Diceros bicornis minor: one gene and its partners. The protein of the gene in region 2 interacts with the protein of the main gene of each other region in a pairwise test. Links are inferred from orthologs where the notes say so. Each region holds a gene or a part of one and is shown on either strand. Other genes may lie near its edges. The genes, in order: TNKS, SH3BP5 and SOS1.

Evidence for each region.
Region 1: the proteins of SH3BP5 (region 2) and TNKS interact in a two-hybrid assay, tested with the Homo sapiens proteins (2 studies listed by BioGRID and IntAct). The link is inferred for Diceros bicornis minor from reciprocal best matches to the Homo sapiens genes SH3BP5 and TNKS.
Region 3: the proteins of SH3BP5 (region 2) and SOS1 interact in a two-hybrid assay, tested with the Homo sapiens proteins (2 studies listed by BioGRID and IntAct). The link is inferred for Diceros bicornis minor from reciprocal best matches to the Homo sapiens genes SH3BP5 and SOS1.

What each region holds. Positions count from the first base shown.
Region 1 is NC_080768.1:26,951,041-26,958,312, reverse strand, and holds the start of TNKS (poly [ADP-ribose] polymerase tankyrase-1), read right to left. Parts: upstream 3,061-7,272; 5' UTR 3,043-3,060; coding exon 2,370-3,042; intron 1-2,369.
Region 2 is NC_080741.1:21,849,905-21,857,500, forward strand, and holds the start of SH3BP5 (SH3 domain-binding protein 5), read right to left. Parts: upstream 3,055-7,596; 5' UTR 2,933-3,054; coding exon 2,798-2,932; intron 1,058-2,797; coding exon 995-1,057; intron 1-994. UniProt on the Homo sapiens protein: Functions as a guanine nucleotide exchange factor (GEF) with specificity for RAB11A and RAB25. Inhibits the auto- and transphosphorylation activity of BTK. Plays a negative regulatory role in BTK-related cytoplasmic signaling in B-cells.
Region 3 is NC_080751.1:45,264,428-45,271,979, forward strand, and holds the start of SOS1 (son of sevenless homolog 1), read left to right. Parts: upstream 1-4,516; 5' UTR 4,517-4,583; coding exon 4,584-4,670; intron 4,671-7,552.

The DNA of each region.
Region 1 (7,272 bases), on a different chromosome or scaffold from region 2:
GCATCTCAACCAACTAACAGTCAACAACTGACAATTACTTTTAATTACTCAGCCCTACTCATGTGGAGAAGACTAGATTTAACAAAGCTTTAATGCTATGTACACAAACATGCAAGTATAGTAAATTGACTACAGGGTGTTATGTTTTTAGACCATGGAGAGTTTTACTGTTGTCTGTTTTCCACAATTGAACTAAAAAGAATTTTTTCTCTAAAAAAGCCAGTTCAAGGTTAGGTTCTCATAACTACAACATAATTACAAGACTGTTTCACTGTGTGTCTTCTAGCTTATCTGGGTACACATAAAACTCTAAAGCAGAATAAAAACTATTGTGGCGTGACTTGGGAGACAAGCACGATTTTATGTGTGACTAATCCTAAATAAGTACATTATTACTCAACTAAATATAACTAACTATCATCTGTTAGTGATCACTTATAATGCAGTATAGTGAGGAATGACGAGATTTGTGAAACAATGTGTTAAAACAGTCAAATTTGGAATAAAGTATGCAAAAGTAAACAACTTCGGTTGATTTGTAATATCAGACTTAGGCTTTTCATTTGGCCTAAAGAAAAACATGCTATTTCACCTAAAATAAGCAATACCCTTGAGCAAATATCTACTTAGATGTAAGCCTGTTTATGATTCAATTCACCACTTTCCTAATAGTAGTGTCTAGATATCAAGTACAGATCCAGTGATCTAATAATGATTTCCTGTAAGTGTTTCTCATATTGCTGATGACCCATTAATGGATCACAAACAGCATTTGTAAAAAGCACAATGGACTAGGATATAAAATATCGCAATACAACACATGTAGTAAGGGAAAGCATGGTTTCCTAAAACTTTTGATTAAGTTTGTGTGAGTGTGTGACAATGTAAAATATATTTCCAAGTTTGGGCTGCAATAAAAAATGTGTGAACGCTCCTCTTGGAGTATATGGCCCCAATTACGTCTTCCCCCAAAACACTGCGAAAGTAGAAACCCTCCATCACAATTACTCACAAAAATGAAAAGTGACCTTAACCCAGGTATAGATTAGAACAGTTTAAGCTTGATTTCACAAGCTCTAAAATCAAACTGAGTTCAAATTCAGGTTCCACTACTTGCTCTGTGAACCTGAAGATATGTATGTGCTTCACTTTGGCATCTGTAAAATGAGAATAATAATATCTTCCAAGTTGTGGTAAAAATAAATAATACAGATAATAAATTATTAATATATGTTTTACTATTAACAGAACAAATTGAAGAAGTGATATATATATTAGAAACATAGCAAGAAAATTTACAGAAGGTATCTTTGGCGTGTTATCTTTGATTCGTGCGGGTTGGGGGGCTTTTTCATTTTGTATATTTCTGTCCTATACAAACTTTATAATGTATATATAACATACATTTCTAATGTATATAACATTATTACTTTTATTTTTTAAAATATCAATAGTAGATATCTGGGCAGTGAGATTATGGTCCTCTGTTTTTGTTTTATATTTCTCTGTATTTTTATAAAAATATATTAGATGTTTTTAAAAGAAACTGGTCAACTACTTATTCAAAAAAGAAAAAGACAAAAGTGTGTGGTCCAGGGTTTAGGAATTAGCATTTTTTCTGAAGAACTTATGTGCCAGACGCTTCTCACTAAATCATCACTCAACCTTAGTATATCATTGTTGCCCATGAGAAAACCGAGGCAACTGAGATTGCCTGTTAGACAACAAATAGCAGCGCCCAGAACTTCCAAACCTGTATTTCTTTTGCCATCACATAATGCATCCAAATATTCTTCTCCAGTTGTTTCATATAAGCATATTTTGATCTACCCAATTAGAGTGAAAAATCCCTGAGAAAGGGGAAAAGTTTCACAACTTCATTTATGTCTTCTATTGGCTTACTAAGACTACGATATACGATAGATCCTTAAACACTTGCTGAGTTACATTAAACTTCTTTTGGTCTCGACTGTCCTCATGGGACATATTTTTCTTGCAAAAATGAAATAAACTAGCAAACAAACTACGAAACTACTCTAAGACTGCTCAAACCTAACTTTATTCCTACACACGCGGAACTGAAAAAGTTTAAGTATACCAATACCCAGAGATTACCACTAAAGGAGTTTGGGAATGAGAACAAGTAACGCTGTACAAACACTAAAAAGAATGGATTCACACATGCCCCCACCACGCCCCCATCACCCAGGCACTATCTAAAGAAAGGAACCTCTAATTTTCCGGTGAGGTGTTGAAGAGCCATAACCACGCCCCCATTTTGTTCCATCATAATAACTTATTTTCTTTCCCTACCCCGACCCCCGTCCCCAACACCAAAACCCTTAATAAACAATTCAAAAGTCTCTGACCTGCAGCGAAGTGCAGGGGAGAAGACTTCCGGCCGGCCATGTCCTTAGCATTCACGTTTGCCGCGTCCACCAGCCTCTTTACCCGGGACACGTCCCCATTGCGACAGGCCTCCAACAGTTCCCGTAGGGCCCCGCTCACTGCTGGGACCCCTGACCCAGGTCCCGCTGTCCCAGGCCCCAAGGTTGCTGTGGTGCTAACTCCGGCCGCCTCAGGGCTCTCTGCCAAGCTGGATCCAGGGGAGGATGGAGAGGAAGAGGAGGAAGAAGTCGGGGAAGAAGAGGACGACGGTGAATTGTTACTACCACCGCCGGCTGAGTTGGGAGCGACCCCGACGGCAGATGAAGCAGAAACCGCCGGGACCACGGGAGCGGCGGCGACGGCACAGATTGTGCTGGTGGTACTGCAACAGCTGGTACTGTCAACCGGGTCCGGGGATCGGGGCCTGTCGGGCGGATCCCGACTGCCATCCCCCTCCGGCAGCGCTAGGCCGTGCCGCGGGGAGGCGAAGGGGGCCAGGCCACCCGCCGTGGGGGAGGCTGGGGTGGTCCCCGGGGCCAGGCCGGGGCTGAGGGGCGGGGGAGGTGGCGGCGGCGGCGCCGAAGCCCCTGGGGCGGGCTGGAGCTGTTGTTGATGATGGTGGTGATGATGCTGAGAGCGACGCGACGCCGCCATCTTCGGACTCCCCCAGCACTGTCACTGCGGCAACGGCCCCACCGCCCGCCCTCACTTCCGACGGCGGGACCAATCAGCACCCAGCGCACAGGAAATGATGCTAGGCGGAGTGGGCGGGGTCAAAGAGAAGGAGGGAAGCCTTGGGAGCTCACAGAACGGCCAGAGAAGGGGGCGTGGCTTTGTGACTTAGGGGCGGGCTCTGTGACGCCTTGGCGGGCCGGCTGGGGAAATTTGAAACCTGGAACTAGCCTCTGCCTAAATGGGAAATTTTCCTGCATTTCTCGCTTTCAGCTTGCTTACCTTGCCCTGCTCTGTTCTGTTGCCAAGTCTCCTTCAGTCTTCCTTATCTTGCTCCAGAGCCAGCTACTGAGATGTAACTGAGGGCAGGAAGAGATATCCTTTATCATCTATCAAGTGTCCTCGTCTGAAAAATGGAATAGTACCTACCTCATAGAATTGTTAGCGGAATTAAATAATCTAATGTATACAAAGCGCTCTAACCCTATATTTAGCCCATTGGTTTTTTTAAATGCAGTCTCCCTCCCCCCCCCCCCCCGCCCCCGGTTATTTCCTTGGTCTCTATGTCCCCAGTCTGTAAATTTTTTGACTCTATGTACTTTGTTAATACTCCATTTTAAAATAGTGGTTCAGATTGCCAGGATTGGAATTCAAGCTCTGCCATATACTAGCTGTGTAAATTGGAACAAGCTATTTAACCACTCTGTGTATCAAGTTCCCCTCTGCAAAATCGAATTAATAGTTCAATAATTAACTATTAAAATTATGTTTTATTCTATTCTATTATCTCTGTACTTTTATTTCTCCCCTTAAGCTTGACTCAAATAAGTGGAATGTTCCTTTCTTTTGAATTATTTTTAGCTGAACCTCTCTTCTCCTCCATTCCTCTCACCCCTCTTCTGTCCCCTCCCAAACTACAATAAAAACCTGACTACTATTCATCACTTACCTTTAGATGCCATTCTTCAACGACTACTTTTTCTCTCTTCCCTCTGCCTATATCTACTTTTTTTGTCTGCCATCAAAAGAGATGTATCAGTGCATGGTATGATCTCAGTGAGGTCTCCATTTCCTGCCTGCTGTTAAATAAAGTAAACTAGGCAATGTGGCAGTTTAGACAAACAGCACTATTCCAATAGAGTGGACAGAGACAGAGATTCTGTCTTAAGAAAAATACAAGATTTAGATGGGCCAAGTAAAAAGTTAGCATTGTAGAATATTGAACCAGGTGATAAATTGTGGTTTCACATGTTCATTATTAAATATAATTAGTGTGATGTTAATATTCCCCTCTAAATAAATCAGTTTATTTAGGACTACCCTCTAAATACAAGGTCAGGAACATAGTTAATATTATGAGTGACATTTATTGTCACCTAATGTGGGGTTACAGATTATAACTCTAACATTATCCACCTGTTTTATAAATTTGTGTCATTGTTAATTCAGAAATTAACAGATCTGTGGCTGGATAGGAAAACTCCATCAGTGCAACTAAAATCTGTCTACAACACACATTCTCCTGGTTCTGAATCTTAAATTAATGCACAGCACAGGATAGCATTGAGGAGTGGGGGTAAATCAACAAGATACATTAGATGTCCATAACTCACCTTGTGCGGTCTTGACTACAGCCTTCTCCCTTAATGGGGAGGCATAAGGAATGATCTCACCCGGTCCCCTGATGGCCAGTTACTCATAAATCACAAGAAGAAGTAGTAATATTCACCCTAATTCAAAATGCATCTATTGTGTTTGTTTATCAGTACAAAATAAATTTGTACCGAAAATTTCTGCTGGATAGAGGTAAAAAGGCTGAATTGCCTTAAACTACTCTACTGGTACAGTATGTCTGAAAATGCGTTCGATCAATTAGAAATTGCTTTTTTCCCCTCCAGTGGAAAGTAGTAAAAGTACTTAACATTAAGTATTTATGAGGTTTAGGTTTACATGGATTAAAAATGTTGAACTCTAAACATGAAAGGGCAGATACCATTACCTAATCTTTCACAGCTAGACACAATTCCATGAAGGATGCACTATACCCTTGTGAAAAGAGCAAAGCTTGGAGTCAAACAACATGGGCTTGAATACATCTCTGATAATTACTAGTTGGCTAATCTTGGTGGATAAGCTTCAGCTCTGTTATTCTAAAATTCTGCTTTTATTGTAGCATTGTTGTGAGGATTAAAAGACCTAGGTGGGGCCAGCCCGTGGCATAGCAGTTAAGTGCGCGCGCTCTGCTGCTGGCACCCCAGTTCGGATCCTGGGCGCGCACAGAGGCGCCGCTTGTCAGGCCATGCTGTGACAGCGTCCCATATAAAGTGGAGGAAGATAGGCATAGGTGTTAGCCCAGGGGCAGTCTTCCCCAGCAAAAAGAGGAGGATTGGCATGGTTGTTAGCTCAGGGACGATCTTCCTCACAAAAATATAAATAAATAAAGTATATTGTTTAAAAAAAAAACAAAGACCTAGGTGTTTTGTAAGCACTCCTTGAGTGTTAGTTTCATTCTCTTATGTGGCATACATAAAATGTTAATGGGAACTGATAGCCACTATTGATAGCTATCTCCTCATAAATTCCTTTATGACAAAGATAGTGACTGGGAATAAATATTCACCATTTTACGTGTAACAGGAATCTTAAGCAAAGAAAGATCAGGTTTAATTGTTGCCTCATCTGAAAATTCAAGGTTCTATACTGGCCCTGACTATCCCCAAGAATTGTTGCTGAGGATCATAGTTGTGTAGCCTCTTATCACTTCCAAAAATGTTTTCAAAAAAACCCATGTCCATGTGGTAAAAAACGTGAGGACACAGCACCCTCTTAAGCCGTATTGTTGACACAAAAGAAAGAGCCACCAACTCAAAGAGCGCTCACCATCTGGACTGTGTTGTGTTTGTTTTTTCCCCCGTGGCAATCATATGGACACACTTTGTAAGTTACGCAATCACAAACTTGTGTGGTCTCCATATTTCAATTAGACTTGGTGTGGTTATTCTATCCGTATACTTCTCTTTGATCTGCCCCAGATCCAAGTTCACTGGTAGTATCTTGGGTCTACTAAATCCACTTATTCCTCGATGCTCTGTGCAATGCCTCTGCAAATTCAAAAGCACAAGGCTAGAGCTATAGTTTGGCTGAGGCAGTGCCGTCTCTTCACCTTGACCTTAGAGGATAAGTTACTCTTATGTCAGAAATGCCCTTGGTGCCAAGGGCCCGATTTCGCTATGAAGGTATTACTAAGCTAAGAGAAATTTTAGCTGAAGTTCCATCCAGAAACTCAGGAGACTCTTCTGTTAGAAACCATAGCTGGGCAACAATTCCAACAGCTGCAATCATGCTAACCGCGTTGCATCGGAAAAAGTTTTATTAAAAGAAAAAGCAAAACAACTTACTACAAGGCAGGAAAATTACAGTAATTTAAAACTCTCCTATATATTAGTTTATTAGCATTCCCCCATTGAAATTTTCAGTTGCTTTAAAATATCTCTTACGTAGCAGAGTCCTCTGGATGCTGTTCCCGAGATATCCATAGTCTGCCCTCTGATAACTTGGATATTTTTCTGGTAAGGTCTGTACGCTTGGGAGTAGTCAGTTCAACATGAAATGTTAGCTCCAGGAAGAGAGGCAATATAAGGAATGTGGGTTCTGCATTTAGACTGCTTGGATATGAATCCTAGCTTTGTCACTAACTTGCTGTGTGTGATTCAAGGATGCCCCATCCTACATTGTAACAGGGATAAATAAAAACCTATTTGCTGAACTTAAAAAAATGGTAAACAAGCTTTCCCACCAAAAACATTCCTTTTCTTAAGTATTTTTTCCAAAATTAATTGAAATCATACATATATACTCCATTAAGGATGAGCATATAGCTTCCTCACTCACAAGAGATAAACACCTGCTACTCCCCCAAAGTCATAAACAAGTTAGAAAAGTTCCGAAAGTTCTGGAATGTATTGACAAGGAAGGGTGTAACTAGCCAACAGTGCATCTGTAATGATGTAATGGCTTATGTAACTGTGGGTGTAGCCAATCAGATTAGGGCTGATGTAACTGCAAACCAATAGATTGTGAGGCAGGCCCAGGGTGCTCAGCCTCCCCCATCAGAACATAGGGCCAGCCCGCCGAGCCGCGATGAACGTTGACCCCTGCGACTGTCTGAGGGGTTGCGGACTACCACATACTGACCATGAGGCAACTCCTACT
Region 2 (7,596 bases):
TTCATGGATACCTACAGTCAGAATAGATGGGTTAGCATAACCCTTCATACACAGCCCGGAGCAGCAAGCTTTTAATCCCCATCGCCACTTCCAGATTTGGTACCTCCAGGGCCTAGCCATGCAGTCAGAAATCAAGGCTGCCATTGTATTGATGATAGATTATATTCCTATCTCCCACACTCCAGGGACCAGATGTTTCCTGCCCTTCCTGTTCACCTTCCCTACCATTTCTTCTGCTACAGAAACAGGTCCTCCCAACAGCTCCCTGCATTCCTTCAGCTCTCTGACAGAGTTATTCACAGGCTCTCAGATATATGCAGGGTTTGTTCATATTTGCTGATGGGGTAAAACCAACCACCACTGAAAAGGGATGGGGACTAATTGGTGGCTGTGAAGAATGCTAATCTGTTTACACTCAGGTTGAAAGATGCTCATGAAATTCAAATCAACTTCTAGTCTCCCAAGATTTTTCCCAGCAGGAAAGCTCTTCGCAGTCTAAACAGCTTTTCCTTACCATTAAGATAATTATATTCCACACACAAGCAGACACTAAAGAAATGAGCAGGGAAGTGGAAAGGGGTGAATTATTAGTGCAGGAAAGGTAAAAAAAAAAAAAAAAAAAAAAAAAAGGAACTGCCCTAAAATATTTAAGAGATTTTTATGAGCTCATTCATTCTTCTCCACTAAAGAGTTCAGCTAATTTTCCCCCCAGTCCATCCAGCTTTTCCACAGACGCGTTAACTTTAGGGCTTCCGTGAGTGTAAAGCTCTTGGTTTTGGCCCCACAGAGCTTCCATGATGAAAAACAACATGTGAAATTGGATCCACATGTGTTCCACCCACAAGCTGGGCTCAGTGGTGTATTTTATTCTGTCAGACAGCAGGCTGTTGCTCAACTCCGAGGAGGGGACGCCAGCTATTAAAACAAAATTAACCAGCCTGGTGTCAGCGGGACTGCACCACCTCACCAACAACAGGGACCCAGCTTTCTGTACCTCAAGTTCAGTCTCCCGTCGGTTGATGTCATCCGTGGATTGATTTAACTTCTCCAGTTCTCCCTAAGGAAGAAAAGACAGAAAAAAAGATTTAAGGGCTTCATCTTTTGTTTCCGGTATGACTCAGCCCATTACCTGGAGAATTACTCCAGGACAATTTGTAGGAAGAGGGAGGACTCAGATAATTCTCAAGGAAAATAGTTAAGCCTTGGCTAGAAGAGCAAAGGAATGGCAGCATATCTGGAGCCTTTTTCTTGATGGTGTCCCTTTTGAAAATGTCTTAAGGTCCTAGGAACTTGTCTTCTCTTAAACGGGCAAATATTTATTCCAGGTATGTGCCTTCAGGTAAACCCACCTGTTACAAATGGTGTAGGGGCCAAATCAAAACAGTACCTTCTGCCATAGAGCAAGAATTTGCAGAAAAGACAATGATAGAAAATAAACAAGGCCAACCCAAAAGTATAAACCTAATGAAATGATTTAGTCAAGGACAGAATTCTGGCATTGATTCATCAGCAGTTGAGTATTTTTCTGTACAGATGAAAATCTTTTCAAACTGCCTATTATTCAACCTACCTAGCTGGTTTTTTTTTTTAATAAAAAAATTAGCTTTAATCCTGATCTTTTAAATAAACATGTACAAACTGACCTTTGTAAAAAGTACCCGCATGAAGTTAACTCATTTTATTCTACAAACAAAGGGTCTTGTTAACAGAATTCCTGTACCAAGAAAACAAGATTTAGTAGTCCAAACTGATTATTTTAAATAGAATTCCTAATGCAAAGATTTTTCCACCTGATCTTTATCTTGCTAATCTGCCAAAACAATGCATTTAAACAGCAACAGCTGAATTAAATGAGCTTTTAATTGACCTGTGCACTGAAAAACCAATTAGGGCTCCAGAAATTGCAGAGCATGCTTAAAAGCAATATTTAAAAAAAAAAAAAAAGATTTATGGAAAGGGTAGAAAAATGAGTCTTGGAAAGGGGATTTGCTGTGCTTTCTGCTTCGAGGGTGAAGAGGTTAAACTGTCACTCCTAGATCTCGGCTTGGAAATTGTTTTTTAATCATCTACCTTAGAAATGGAGGCACAGAAAGCCAGGCCAATCCCCTCGCCTTCTCCCCGCATCAGCTCTGCGCATCAGTTGCCCCTGATTTCTGTTCACACCCGGCCTCCTAACAAGGAAAAGCTGGGCTTTAAAGCATCTGAGGCCAAGCGGAGGGTTGAGCCAGTGGTGACAATAAACCCTTCAGTTTGCTAACAATGAATCAGAGGAGGAGGAATATGGTTCGGGCCGGGCACCTCCGCCAGGTGGGGACTCCAAACCCAGGGCACCGGTGCCAGCCCACGCTGCAGGGGCGGACAACGCCCACCCTGCCCAGCTCGCCCACCCGCCCACGGAGTCGGGCGCCCACCCTGGCCGGCCCACCCCTCCTCCCGGGGCCAGGCAGCCGTGCAATGCCTGCGGCGCCGCGAGCCTAGCCGGGGGTACCCCGATACCCACATGGCGCCCCCGCCCCCTTTTTCCCTTTGTTGCACATCCGCCCGAAACGCTGGGCACGCTGCGGCGACCCCCGGATCCTGCCAGGGGTCTGCGAGGGGGAGCCCCACAATAGAGTCAGGCCGCATCCACGCGGGCACTGCAGCCTCCCCATGAACCAGGTGAAACGGAGTATTTAGACGCTCTCTTCTCGCCCCCAGACCTACGTGGCCACCACCTCCCCGGAACGCAGGCACTGGGGGCTGCGGGACAGGTATAAGTGTAGATGCCGGGATCCGGGGCGCCCCCCGCGCGCCCTACCTGGATCCGGGGGTCCACTTCTTCCTCTTCCAGCCCCTGCTCCATCCCCTCTTCCTCCTCCTCCTCCAAGTCCCGGGCAGACGGCAGGAGCTCAGCCGGCTCCTCCGAGCGGCCCCGCTTCAGCGCCGCGTCCATGCGGGCAGCCGGAATGCGAACCGCGCGGGGGACTTCGGAGCGTCCGGAGGGGCAGCGACTCGCCGCAGGCTCGGCCGGAGCTGTCTCGCCACAGCCCGGCACGGTCGGGAGCCGCCGGGGCCGACACCCGGGAGGCGCCGCTCGCCGATGCGGATCCGTCCGGCGCGGGCGGAGCGGAGGAAATGGGCGCGGCCGCCCCCTTTCTGCCGCGGCTGTCAGCGCAGCGGCGCCCGCTCCGCCCTCGTCCCGCCGGGCCGCCCTCCGCGCGCCTCCGACTGTTCCTCGGCAGGTCCCAGTTACCCAGGCCTCCGTCACAAAAACCCCAGCCCTCTGAAATCCTCTAGCGTGGGGAAATAGGAGAGCCCTCACCCCTTCTTAGCAGCCCGAATATCACAAACCACCCAACATTGGCCACCTACTCTCCCGGCAGCTTTCTCCCTCCCTCCTCGGCCCAGGCGAATTGACTGTATGGAAGGAAAGTTTGGGGTATTTCCAGTCTCTGAAATCACCTTTAGAAGCCTGTACTCAGTGACCCTGGGCCAGTTTCAAGACTCCTCAAACCCCTGTATACACCCAAAGCACGTTTCTCCCCTTGGTTGAATCTTGGGAATTCTATCTATGTACTTGAAGATTTCCCCAGAAAAGGCAACTGTAACGTGCTCACATTGACATAAAGTACAGAAAGGGGAGCCAGCTGCAGCTCCAGGCGCGGATTCTTTGTCCAAAGTTTGTGACCCGCGCTGGGCAGAGCTCCACACCCAAACAGCTGTGCGTTAGTGTTGTGGCATGGTCCTACCTGAATAGCCAGGAAGCATGGAAAATCCATTGATCAGGGATGTGGGTGGGTGGGTGGGTACAGTCTTTTCAAGGAGGGGCTAAGTGTTACCTCTGTTAATGGGTACACCCTGTCCAAGGATTTATGAACTGGTGAGGTTTCCTGCCCACCCTGAGTAAGTAGGGAGGCAGAGCTTGCCTGGCAAACTCGACATCACTAAAGTGCAAAGAACGAAGGGGCATGTCTGTGCTGTTATGAAATGTCATGGCCACTGTGATGTCAGGGGAGCACAAGGTCAGATGACCTTAGCAAAGCAGGCAAGGACATTGCCACTGGCCACTGCTAATGTCTCCTTCACTACAAAAATGCAGAAAGCGTACACATCTACACAGAGGCTTACGGCCGATTGGCTCTGTGAGTTTGGAGGACAAACTTGCTTGAGAAAGGAGCTTCTTTCTGAGATCCCATCGTTAAGCCACCTTGAAAACCTGCTTCTGATGGTTTTATCAGAAGCTAATTTAGAGGGTTACTCCTTGGGTAAGGTACCACCCTATATATGCTGGCACTGTGGTCCACCATCAAAAGAGATTCATCCTGTCTCCTGGACATAATATAGGTGTATGCTATACGTTTGTTTTGGAAAGTTCAAACCTCTTCATTGTTCTTTAAGGAAGAGTCAGCAATTCTTGGAGAGATGTTCTGAAGTTCCTTGCTAAAGACTGTTGCTTTTGATTTTCTACTGATGGATGAAGGCCAGGACAAGATGGTCACTAGGGTCACTTTGGGACACAAGAGTCACCATTGTTTCCCTGGTGGCTGGGAATTGAGCCTATAACTGAGCAGGTTCATCCTAGCTGTGAATCCACTGAGACTGAGCTGGAAAACCAGAAATGTGAGGTCAGCCCTGACTCTCAATGCTTCTCAGCTGGTGGAACCCCAGCCTCACCATTCTAAACAACTGCCTCTAAAACACATTTCTATTTAAACTTAGATCTAAGCGCAATAGAGTGGTTCAAAACGCCTTCATGGGACACAGGGAAACTGCTCTAGAACTTGAGTTCAGATTTTAGTTGTCTTATTTTTAGGAGACCTGGCCAGCTATAGTGTTGATCCCAATAGTGATCTGAAGTTAAAATAAGGAAAATAAACAAACCACAGCAATACGATATATTTTCTATTGGTACATATATATGCACATAAATGCCTAGAAAAAGGTCTGGAAGAAGGACTTCAGACCCAACAAAGAGTACTACCCCTGGGAAAGGGGGGTAGGGAGGGGCCCAGGATTGGCTAGGATGGTCAGAGGAAACTTCTAATCTCTCAATAATGTTTTCATTTTTTACAAGGAGGATATATTTATAATTATTTGTATAATTTAAGAATAAATTTAAAATAATACATACTGTATGAGTTTTTTATTGCTGTGTAACAAATTACCACAAATTTAGCAGCTTAAAACAACACATTATCTCATAGTTCTCTAGGTCTGAGGTTCAGGCACGGCATGACTAGGTTCTGGGCTCAGGGTCCCCCAGGCTGAATCAGGGTGTCGGCCAGACAGCATTCATTTCTGGAGGCTCTGAGGAAAAAGTCCTTCCAAGCTCATTCAGGTTATCAGCTGAATTCAGTTCCTTGTGGTTGTAGGACTGAGGTGCCCGTTTCCTTGCTGACTGTCAGCCAAGGGCCAGTCTCAGCTGCTGGAGGCTGCCTGCATTCCTTGTCACGTGGCCCCCTCCATTTTCAAAGGCAGCAACAGAGATCTCACTTGTGTTGAATCCCTGTTACACTTCAGTCTCTTCTTCAAGAAGAGCTCAGTCCCTTTTAAGTGTTCACTTGATTAGGTCAGGTCCACCCAGAAAAGTCTCCCATTCTTAAAGTCAGCTGTGCCACATACATAACCTAATCGTGGACATGACTATCTCAACTATTCACAAGTTCCTACAATTATACAGGAGTATATACACCGGATGGTGGGAAATGGGCCAATCTTAGAATTCTGCCTACTGCACATACTAAGAAGGCAAGCCGTGTTAAGTGGCTTGTAAGCCAGATACATGCTTAATATTTATTTTAGCTGGCATGTTGATCTGGAGCAGCAGCTCTAAAGGTCTGGGGTGGCGACCCCTGCAGGTCTCTAACTGGCTGCACCAGCTTGCACTCCCACCAGCAGTGTATGAGAGTTCCCTTCTCTCCACATCCTCTCCAACACTTGTTATTTCTTGTTAATTACAGTCATTCTGAGGGGTGTGAGGTGATATCTCATTGTAGTTTTGATTTGCATTTCCCTAATAATTAGTGATGTAGAACATCTTTTCATGTGCCTGTTGGCCATCTGTGTATCTTCTTTGGAAAAATGTCCTCATATCCTCTGCCCATTTTTTGGTGTTGAGTTGTATGAGTTCTTTATATATTTTGGAAATTAACCTCTCTTCAGATATATGATTTGCAAATATTTTCTCCCAGTTGGTAGGTTGTCTTTTCGTTTTGTTCATGGTTTCCTTTGCTGTGCAGAAGCTTTTTAGTCTGATGTAGTCCCATTTGTTTATTTTTTCTTTTATTTCCCATGCCTGAGTAGACATGGTATTCAAAAAGCCACCGCTAAGACCGATGTCAAAGAGTCTACTGCCTATGTTTTCTTCTAGGAGTTTTATGGTGTCAGGTCTTACATTCAAGTCTTTAATCCATTTTGAGCTCCTCAGCTCTTTTTGTGAATAGAGAAACTTGTCTTTTTGCCCCACCCTGATGAACCCCCCAGAGTGGAGGAATGAGAGGAAGTGAGGCGACGTGCTGATGTCACAGCGCTTGACTGAGTTTAGGGCAGAAGGAGGGAGAGTGCTGGCCATCAACCAGGTGAAGGGAGCAGCATTTTCCCTCCTGGCAACTGAAAAGGGCCATGTTACACTCGGCAGGAACACGGAAGTCATCCCACTGTTCTGCCTGCAGGGCCAGGATGGGTTAAAGAGAAGCTGACACTGGGCCTTGAATAACAAACACAACTTCCTCAAACAAGGGAGGAAGGTTTTTGCCAAAGAAAGAAAGAGCTTCCCAGATAGGGGAAAAAACAGGAGGAAATCATGGAGGGGTTCGTGGAACCCCTCATGGACCACAAAACCGATGAACCATGGTTCATGGAACCAATCATGGACTGGTCAGGAACAGCAAGGCGGGACATCATCCGGACTTGGGACCCAGGAAGGGACGGTGGGGAGTGGAAGGAGCAGGGCATGAAGCCTAAAGTATAGTTTGGGGCAGGTCCTCAAGGGCCTTGAATGCCAGGCTAAAAACTTTGGACTACAGACTGTAGAAAATGAGATGCCATTCATTCATCCAACAAATATTTATTGAGCAGTTAACATGATTTGGACACTATACGAGAAGTCAGGGGTACCACTACGAACAAAAGACACAAACTCCCTGCCATCAGGGAGCTTACATTCTAGTAGAAGGAGAGAGGGAATGAACGAATCAATGTATAATACGTCAGGGTGATCAGTGCTAAGGGCAAAAACGAAGCAGGGAACGGAGAGAGAGACGAGGTGTGGTTATGGCAAAGGCCTCCCCGAGAAGGGCACTTTGAGCCAAGACCTGAAAGAAATGAGAGCTCAAACCACACGTACCTGTAGGGGAGGATCACTCCAGCAACTGGAGCAGCCTGCGCAGAGGTCCTGGGAAGGGAATGGGCTCACGGTGTGGGTGGGTAAGCAGAGATCAGCATGGGTAGAGCAGAGACAGCAAGGGGGAGAGCGAGGGAGATGACGTCAGAGAGCTGCAGGTGGGTAGACCATGGAGGGCCTTTACATGGTAAGGAGTGTAGATTTTATTCTGAGCGATCATGTAATCACTGTGGCTAGTGTGTGCGAACTTGACCCGGGGACACTGAGGAGCTGGG
Region 3 (7,552 bases), on a different chromosome or scaffold from region 2:
AATAACGCATGATTTCACTCATATGTGGAAGATAAAGCAACGACAACAACAACAAACACACACATAGACCCACAGAATAAATTGGTGGTTACCAGAGGGGAAGGAGAGAGAGGGAGGCTGAAAGGGATAAAAGGGCACATGTGTATGGTGACAGATGGCCATTAGACTTTGTGTGGTGAACACAGTGAAGTCTACACAGAAGTCAAAATATAATGATGTACACCTGAAATTTATATAATGTTATAAACCAGTGTTACCTCAAAAATTAAATTAAAAAATATTTTAAAAAAGAGGGAGAGGGAGGGAGGGAACCAAAGTATTAACTAAAGGTGCTAAAGGGTGCGTATCCAGTGGTTTTATCAGCCACTATTTTCTCTGGTGTATTTTCTGGGGACATCCTGTTTCGAGAAGTGGAATTGCAAGTAGGGATTGGGAAGAAAGGGTGAGGAGAAGCATGAAGGGAAGATAAGCTGCTGGAAGAGAGAGGACCTTGACTTTGCTAATGGCTGAAACTGCTGTTTCTTATGCCTGTTTAAGGGGAGGCATCCTGAATGGGGCCTGAGAAAGTCTTCAGAGAGAAGGTGACATTTGAGCTGGGGGCGACAGCGTGGATGCGAGTTCCACGGTGAGCGTGTACATGGGCGGTGAGGTGCAGCTGTGGCGGGTGGGATTGGACAAAAACGGTTATTGGCATTCCCGGCAGACGGAACAGCATATGTAGGCAACAAAGACGAATAGAAATGATGGGTTTATGGGAGGCAATAGTAGTTCATTTCCAGTGAGAGAGATATCTGGGAAGATAAGTAGTGGCCCTATTGTGTAAGGCCATGAATACCAAGCAAAGGACTTTGGACTTCATCTTGGGATGGCAGTGGAGGCTCTTGAACAGGAGAGTAACCGGATCTGAAGTTTGCTTCAGGGAGATGATTGTGGCGGCAGCGAAGGAGGCAACCCTGTGACTGCTGGGGGCGGCGGCGTGGGGAAAAGAGCGGAGTGCTGCGCTCCCACCTGCAGGGGGCGCGCCAACGGACCGAACGCCCTCCCCGCCCCCTTCCCTGCTGCCCGGGTTCTGACGCTACGCGCTCGGAACTCGGCTAGCCCGCCTGGACGTGCTCATCTCGGGCCTCGGCTAGTCCGCCTGGACGCGCCCCCCGTGCGTCACGTCCGCTCTGGCTCCAGGCTCCTTAGAGCTGAGTAGGGGCGCGAACAGAACCTCTGCGCCTGCGCCGCGGGGCAATAGTCGGCGGTTAACGCTGAGGGGCCCAGGGAGCTTTCCTGGCTTCCGTAGAACGTATCTGAGTCCGCCACAGTTGTCTTCTCTCGCTGCACGCTTGTAGGTGTTTTCATTTGTCCCAAGAGATATAGGCAAACGATGCAGAGGAGCTCGACTGCTCCCTGACCTTAGCGGCGCCGAGGTCAGCACCACTCCCCTTTGGTTGCTCAGCTCAGAAGCGCCGAGTCTCTTCTCTGCAATTTCCCTCCAGCTGCTTGCTCTCAGTCTGCGGCCAAAAAGTCCATACTAGTGAGAACCTGCCCCGGCTGCTAAGCGCGCCCAGCCCAGCGTGTAATCCATGTTTCTAGGGCTTGTTTACCTCTGCAGTCACATCAGAGACTCGAAGTTGAAGGGGACCTTGGAGGTCATCACGTCCAACCTCTTAACCCTTCCCGACATCCCGAGTGAGTGAATGTACGGTTTTTACTTGCACACCTCCGAAGATCGCCCGTTTCCCGAGACAACTCCGATTAGGTAGTCTTCCTGGAAGTTTCCTCCATCCAACTTTTATGTGTCCACTTTAGTTCATCATCATATCCCTAGGACCTACACTACTTGGCACACAGTAGGCGCTTGATAAATATTTTTGAAGGAATAAGATTGTTGATCTCTTGGAGTTTTCCATTCTACTGGGGGGCAACCAACAACTAAAAATAGTTAGAGGCCGTGATTTATGCGAGCAAGGAAATAAGCGGAGGCTTATGGTAGAAATACATAGGTGGGAACTACTTGGTGTGATCAGTGTGGCCTGTTGGAGGTGGTGACGTTTGTAACCAGCCAAGTGAACAGTTAGGAGCAGAGAGAGTTCCGGGCTGGGGGAAGATCAAAGCCCTCGAGGCAGGAAAGATGTTGGTGTTTTCTAGGAATAGACAGAAGGCCAGTGTGACTGCAGTGTGGTGAGCCAGGATTGAGAATGGTGAGAAAAGGTTGAGAATGTAAACAGGAGCCAGATGCAGGCTTGTGGGCCATGGTGAGTAGTTTGAAAGGTATTCTAAGAAGAATGGGAAGCCCAAGAAGGATTTGGGGCGGAAGCTTGATCTTAGTTCATTGGTTTAGAACCACACAAACCATATCATATATGGTTTTTCTATGTTACAGTCTTTTAGATATTTAGAGATGTCTGACATGTTTTCGTGAGACCCATTTTTCTGTCCCCAACTCCTCTCAAAGCTGTAGTTCCTCTACCTCTTCTTACCCAGAGGTAAGAAAAAAAATGGATAATTTTCAAAATGTCATTCTGAACACTTTGAAAGCATGGAGAATTTTTAAATGTAAATCATGTGTGTACATTTTTAAAGAAAAGGACCTAAGACTTATGAGATTCTCCAAGAGGTCTTGTAGAGATTACCACTGCTTAAACATTTCTCCTCTATGTGATCCTGTTTTTTTTGTTTTTTTTTTTGAGGAAGATCAGCCCTGAGCTAACATCTGTGCTAATCCTCCTCTTTTTGCTGAGGAAGACCTGCTCTGAGCTAACATCTATTGCCAATCCTGCTCCTTCCCTCCCTCCCCAAAGCCCCAGTAGATAGTTGTATGTCATAGTTGCACATCCTTCTAGTTGCTGTGTGTGGGACACGGCCTCAGCATGGCGGGAGAAGTGGTGCCTGGGTGCACGCGGGGGATCCGACTCTGGCGCTGCCGGTGGCGCACTTAACCGCTAAGCCAGGGGGCCCGCCGGGTATGTGATCCTGGTTATCATTCTCTGGAATAGCAGGGTACTATGTCAACTTCAATCCAGGCTCATCCTCTAAACTGTCTTCTCATCTGTGAAATGAAAACAATAGGATTGCTATGAGGATTAAATGAGATTATGTTCAAAAAGTGCTTAATGGTAAACCATGAGGAGCCGGCCACACATGACCACTCTTATAAACACCTGCATCCCTGGGATGGAGGAAGAGTTTAGATAATGCTCCTTTGGCATTCCACAAACATTCACTAAGTGCCTATTCTGTGTAGAACCCCTAGTGAAAAATATCTGCCTTCCAGCAGTTTATCTAGTTGAAAGAGCCAGGAGAGGTACAAAACATAATAAACCAAATGCTCTGAGAGGGGCATGAGTAAAGTGATCTGGGAACTGCAAGAGATCTCAATTTCCACTGGAAGTAGGTGGTTATTGGAGTTCATATTTGAAGTGGGTTTGAAAGATGAACATATTGAATCTAAAAAACACACAAAATCAATACTACACGTACACATTTTATTCTTGGTGATGTGGAAAGACAGATTGGAAACATTGCAATCACTTCCATTATCCGACAAATACTGAGCAGTAGGTTTCGTGAGAAAGGCACCTATCTTTTGTCCAGTCTGTTTACTATACATTGCATGCTCTGGGCAGTCCTTATCTTCATGTTCAGGAACAAAGTACACAAATACACACCCCTTTCCGAAACGAAAGGTCTAGGCACTCCAAGAGAGGGGTGGGATCTCTCGCGGCCCAACCACACAATGGGGGCCGCTTCCCCGTAGCTCTCACCCCGCCCCCCCCACGCCCCCCCATCTCGCAGGCCCCACTCAGGCAGGGTTCGACTTATCCGGGCCCTTTCGCTCCTCCCCTGCAGCCCCGGGGGGCGCAGCCACGGCCCGGCGGGGCGTCCTCCCTCACTCGCGCTTCCCTCCTCCTTCGCCGGGGAGCCGGAAAACCCGGAGCGAACCGGCCCTGCCCGGCGGCGCATGCTCAGTAGCGAGCAGGTTCAGTTCGCTAGTAGGAAGCTCGAGCGCTACACCGGCGTCGGCGGCGGCACCTTGGGGCAGGCAGATTCCCCAGCACCGACCTCGGGCCCGTCCTCTCCCCCGCCAGACCCCGGCCCCAGCTCCGCCCCGCCGCGCCCGGGGTCGCTCGCTCATCGGGGTTCCCGCGGCGCGGAGCGTGCGCCGCGGCCGGAGCGTCTCTCCACAAGCTCTTCCCCAGCCGCGGGCTCCGCCGCGGGGCCAGGCCGGGCCCGAGCGCGCAACCCCGGCAGCCGGGCGGGCGGCGGCCGCGGCGGAGGGCAGCCCGGGGCGGCGCCGGAGGGCCGGGGAGGGTTGGGGGGGCCCGGCCCCGGGGCGGTGGTGCGGGATGCCGCCGCCGCCGCCTCCGGGCTGCGTTCGCTCTCCGCGGCTGGTGCCCGTGTCGGGTGGCTGGCCGGGCGCGGGCCTCGCCCCGCAGCCCCCTCTCCAGGGCTAGCCCGGCCGCGCGGCGCCCCGAGGGGGCCGGGCCGTCCAGTGGGGCCGCGGCCCTGTTCCGCGCTGCGAGCTCGCCCTCTCGCGGCTCCCCGGCCCGGCCGCCGCCGCCCCTCTCCCCGCCCAGAGGCGCCCCGGGGGCACCATGCAGGCGCAGCAGCTGCCGTACGAGTTTTTCAGCGAGGAGAACGCGCCCAAGTGGCGGGGGCTGCTGGTGCCGGCGCTGAAAAAGGTGAGGAGCGCGCGGGAGCCCGCTTCCCCGCTGCAGCCCCTGCGAGGGCGCCGGGCCGGGCCGGGGCAGGGCTGGGGAGGCGGGGCGCGCGCGGGGCCGTCTTTCTTCTCGGTCTCGCCGCCTCCGCGAAAGGACGGCGCCCACTGAGCGGTTCCCCCGCACGCGCTGCCTCCCGGGGTTGACGTTCACCCGGTGTGGGGGAAGGCCGCAGGAGGCCGGGGAGAGTTTGTCCGGATAATCAACCCCTGAGAGTCCTGCTCCTGCTTCAGAGACGAGAGTTGGAGGAGCCTCAGTTTTCAGTGGAGGTCAAAGCAGGCCACTTTTCCGCCTTCTCGGTCTTACCCGGAGCTGCTGTCAGCCTCCGTTTTAGGTGTCCAGTCTGCTCGTTTTAGTGGGCTCGAGAATGCTCTGGCCATAATGCTTGCTCTAAGTAATTGCAGAGCTCGCCTGCCAGCAGGAACATGGCCTGCTCTGCTCGCCCTCGGTAATCACTCTTCATTCCTCTGAATTCCCTCGCTCCTCCGATTAACCGGGGTGGGTGCACATGCCGCTATTTTCTTTCTTTTCTTTTTGTGAGAGTCTGAGAATCTTGGTGCTGTCATTCGTTTTGTTGATTAGAATTTTCAACCTGGCTGTGTTCCTTCAAGTTTGCCACATTGTTACCTCAAGTTAAATACCTTGTGATCTGTATTTTTAAATGTTTTAGTATAATTAGGAAATGTTGCTACATTTTAAAAGCTTCTAAAGCAACATTGTGAGTTAATTCAGAAACTTGTGTGTTTGAATGAACATAAAAACAACCAGAGTATTTTTTGTTTCCCTTTTACCTTTTCTATAAATATAGGATTGCTTTACTCTTTTAATAGTGTTTCTACATCCCAATTTTTTGTTCCTCAAACAATGTTTCATGTTATCTGGTTAAAATATATTCTGCTGAGAGTTGAGATTATGGTGTACCTTTTGTTCTAAACATTTATACTTTTGAAAACTGTGTCTTAAATGGTGTCTGATATTTCTCAAAGGCCAGCAACTTTTACTTTCCATTTTGTCCTGTCCTCCCTGTCTCCCTCTTGGTATTTTACAGAGGAAAATATTTGGTTTGTTAGCAGAAACTGGTCATATATTTCAGATATAAGTTACTGACTTTTTTCCTCAGGTGTCTGACTAGTCACAAACGTCTCTGTGATATTGTTTTCTAGGAAAATCAAAGAGATGCCATATACTGTATATACTTTATTCATTAGTAATCCCGTCAGGCTTTCACGCTATTTAGTTTTGCTTTACCTGCAAACTTGACATCTTAGCTTGTAATAGAAGGGTAGTAGGAGGTCTCAGTGATGCTGGAAGCAGGTATCCTGACCTAGGTGGGGCCGCGGTGGGGAGGAGACAGAAAAATTGTTGAAAACATACAAAAGAACTCATAAAACACTACCAGTTTGGGGCTATTTTGTTTAGAAGCAAGCATATCCTATCCCAGAGTAAACACCAACGTACCCATCAGTTGAGGGTCCTATGAAGTAGTGGAAAGAGCGTTGTAGGAGTTGGCAGACCAGATGTAACTCTGCCACACGTAGACTGATAAATGCAGCAAGACTCAAGATGGCCCTTGCTGAAATCTATCCACAGAAGCATTTTGTTTGGCTGGCATGGTGTTGTTTTATTTTTAATGTAATTAGTTGCCGATATTTAAAAATGGGAGATATTACATAAAATCTGAATTTTCAGCTTTTCTTGAAGAATAGGAGGATCTCTCCACATTGGGCCTGCATTCAAGCAAGGCAGTAAACTGCTGGAGCTGAGGAAATGACTGTCCTCTTTAGACATGGCACATCTCTTCAATTTACACAGTCCCCACCAGTCCTCTGCTTATTTACATAACCCAGCTTTGACTTTAAGCAGAGATACCCTTGTATAACAGTAAAAGTGATGAGAGGAGGTGGAATCTAGCTGATATGTAAGGTTCTCCAAATTCTTATTTAAAATATCCACTAATGATAATTCTAAGCCACCTAAGACAAGGTTGAAAATATATTTCATATCTGGATGTGCTCTTGGTAGCTCAAAACCTGCATTTTTACCTGCCTGCTAGACATTTCATGTGGATATCTACTATCTTGAACTCTTCTTTTGGGCTTGCTGCAGTATTTGCAGATGTGCCCAACTTGTGTTATCTTACCTGAGGCTCTTTGGACATGCTCTTCTCTTCACCTGGATTGCCCTTAGCCTGGTCTAACACTTCTCACCCTTCTAGACTCGCTCGTCCTCAGATCTTTCCTCAAATCCTTGGGGCCGAGTTGGATAATCTTTTTAAATTTTCTTTTAGCACCCTAACCTAGTACTTAACAATGATTTTTAAGTTCCTATTTACTTGTCCTCCCCCCTCCCCAACTAGATTGAATGGTCCTTGAGAACAGGGATGATATTTTACCCTCCGTTGATACAGTGCCTGACACCTAGTAGGCACTTAAGTTTGAACGAATGGGTGAGGGAATACCCAACTAAAACCATCACCTCCCTGCCCTCCATCTTCTGTTTAAAAATTTCCCCTCTTGATTAATGGCTTTATTTTATTTGACTGGTTCAAAACTTTGGAGTCGTCTTGGACTTCTCTCTTTTGCATTACGGCCCACATCCAGGCACAGCCTGTAGATTTATTCCACTTTGACATGTTCTTCTAATCTATTCCCTCCTACTCCAACTGCTCTGAGTCCCCTTTCCCAGACTGCTGTGATAACCTCTTAACTGAGTTCACTGCCCCTCACCTCTCCTTTATCAATTTTTCAAATTTCAGAAGTTATAGTACACTTCTGAACACGTCACACTCTTGTTCAGAACCGTTGATGTCTTTTGAGGGCATAGGATGAAGTTCACAATCTTTAGTT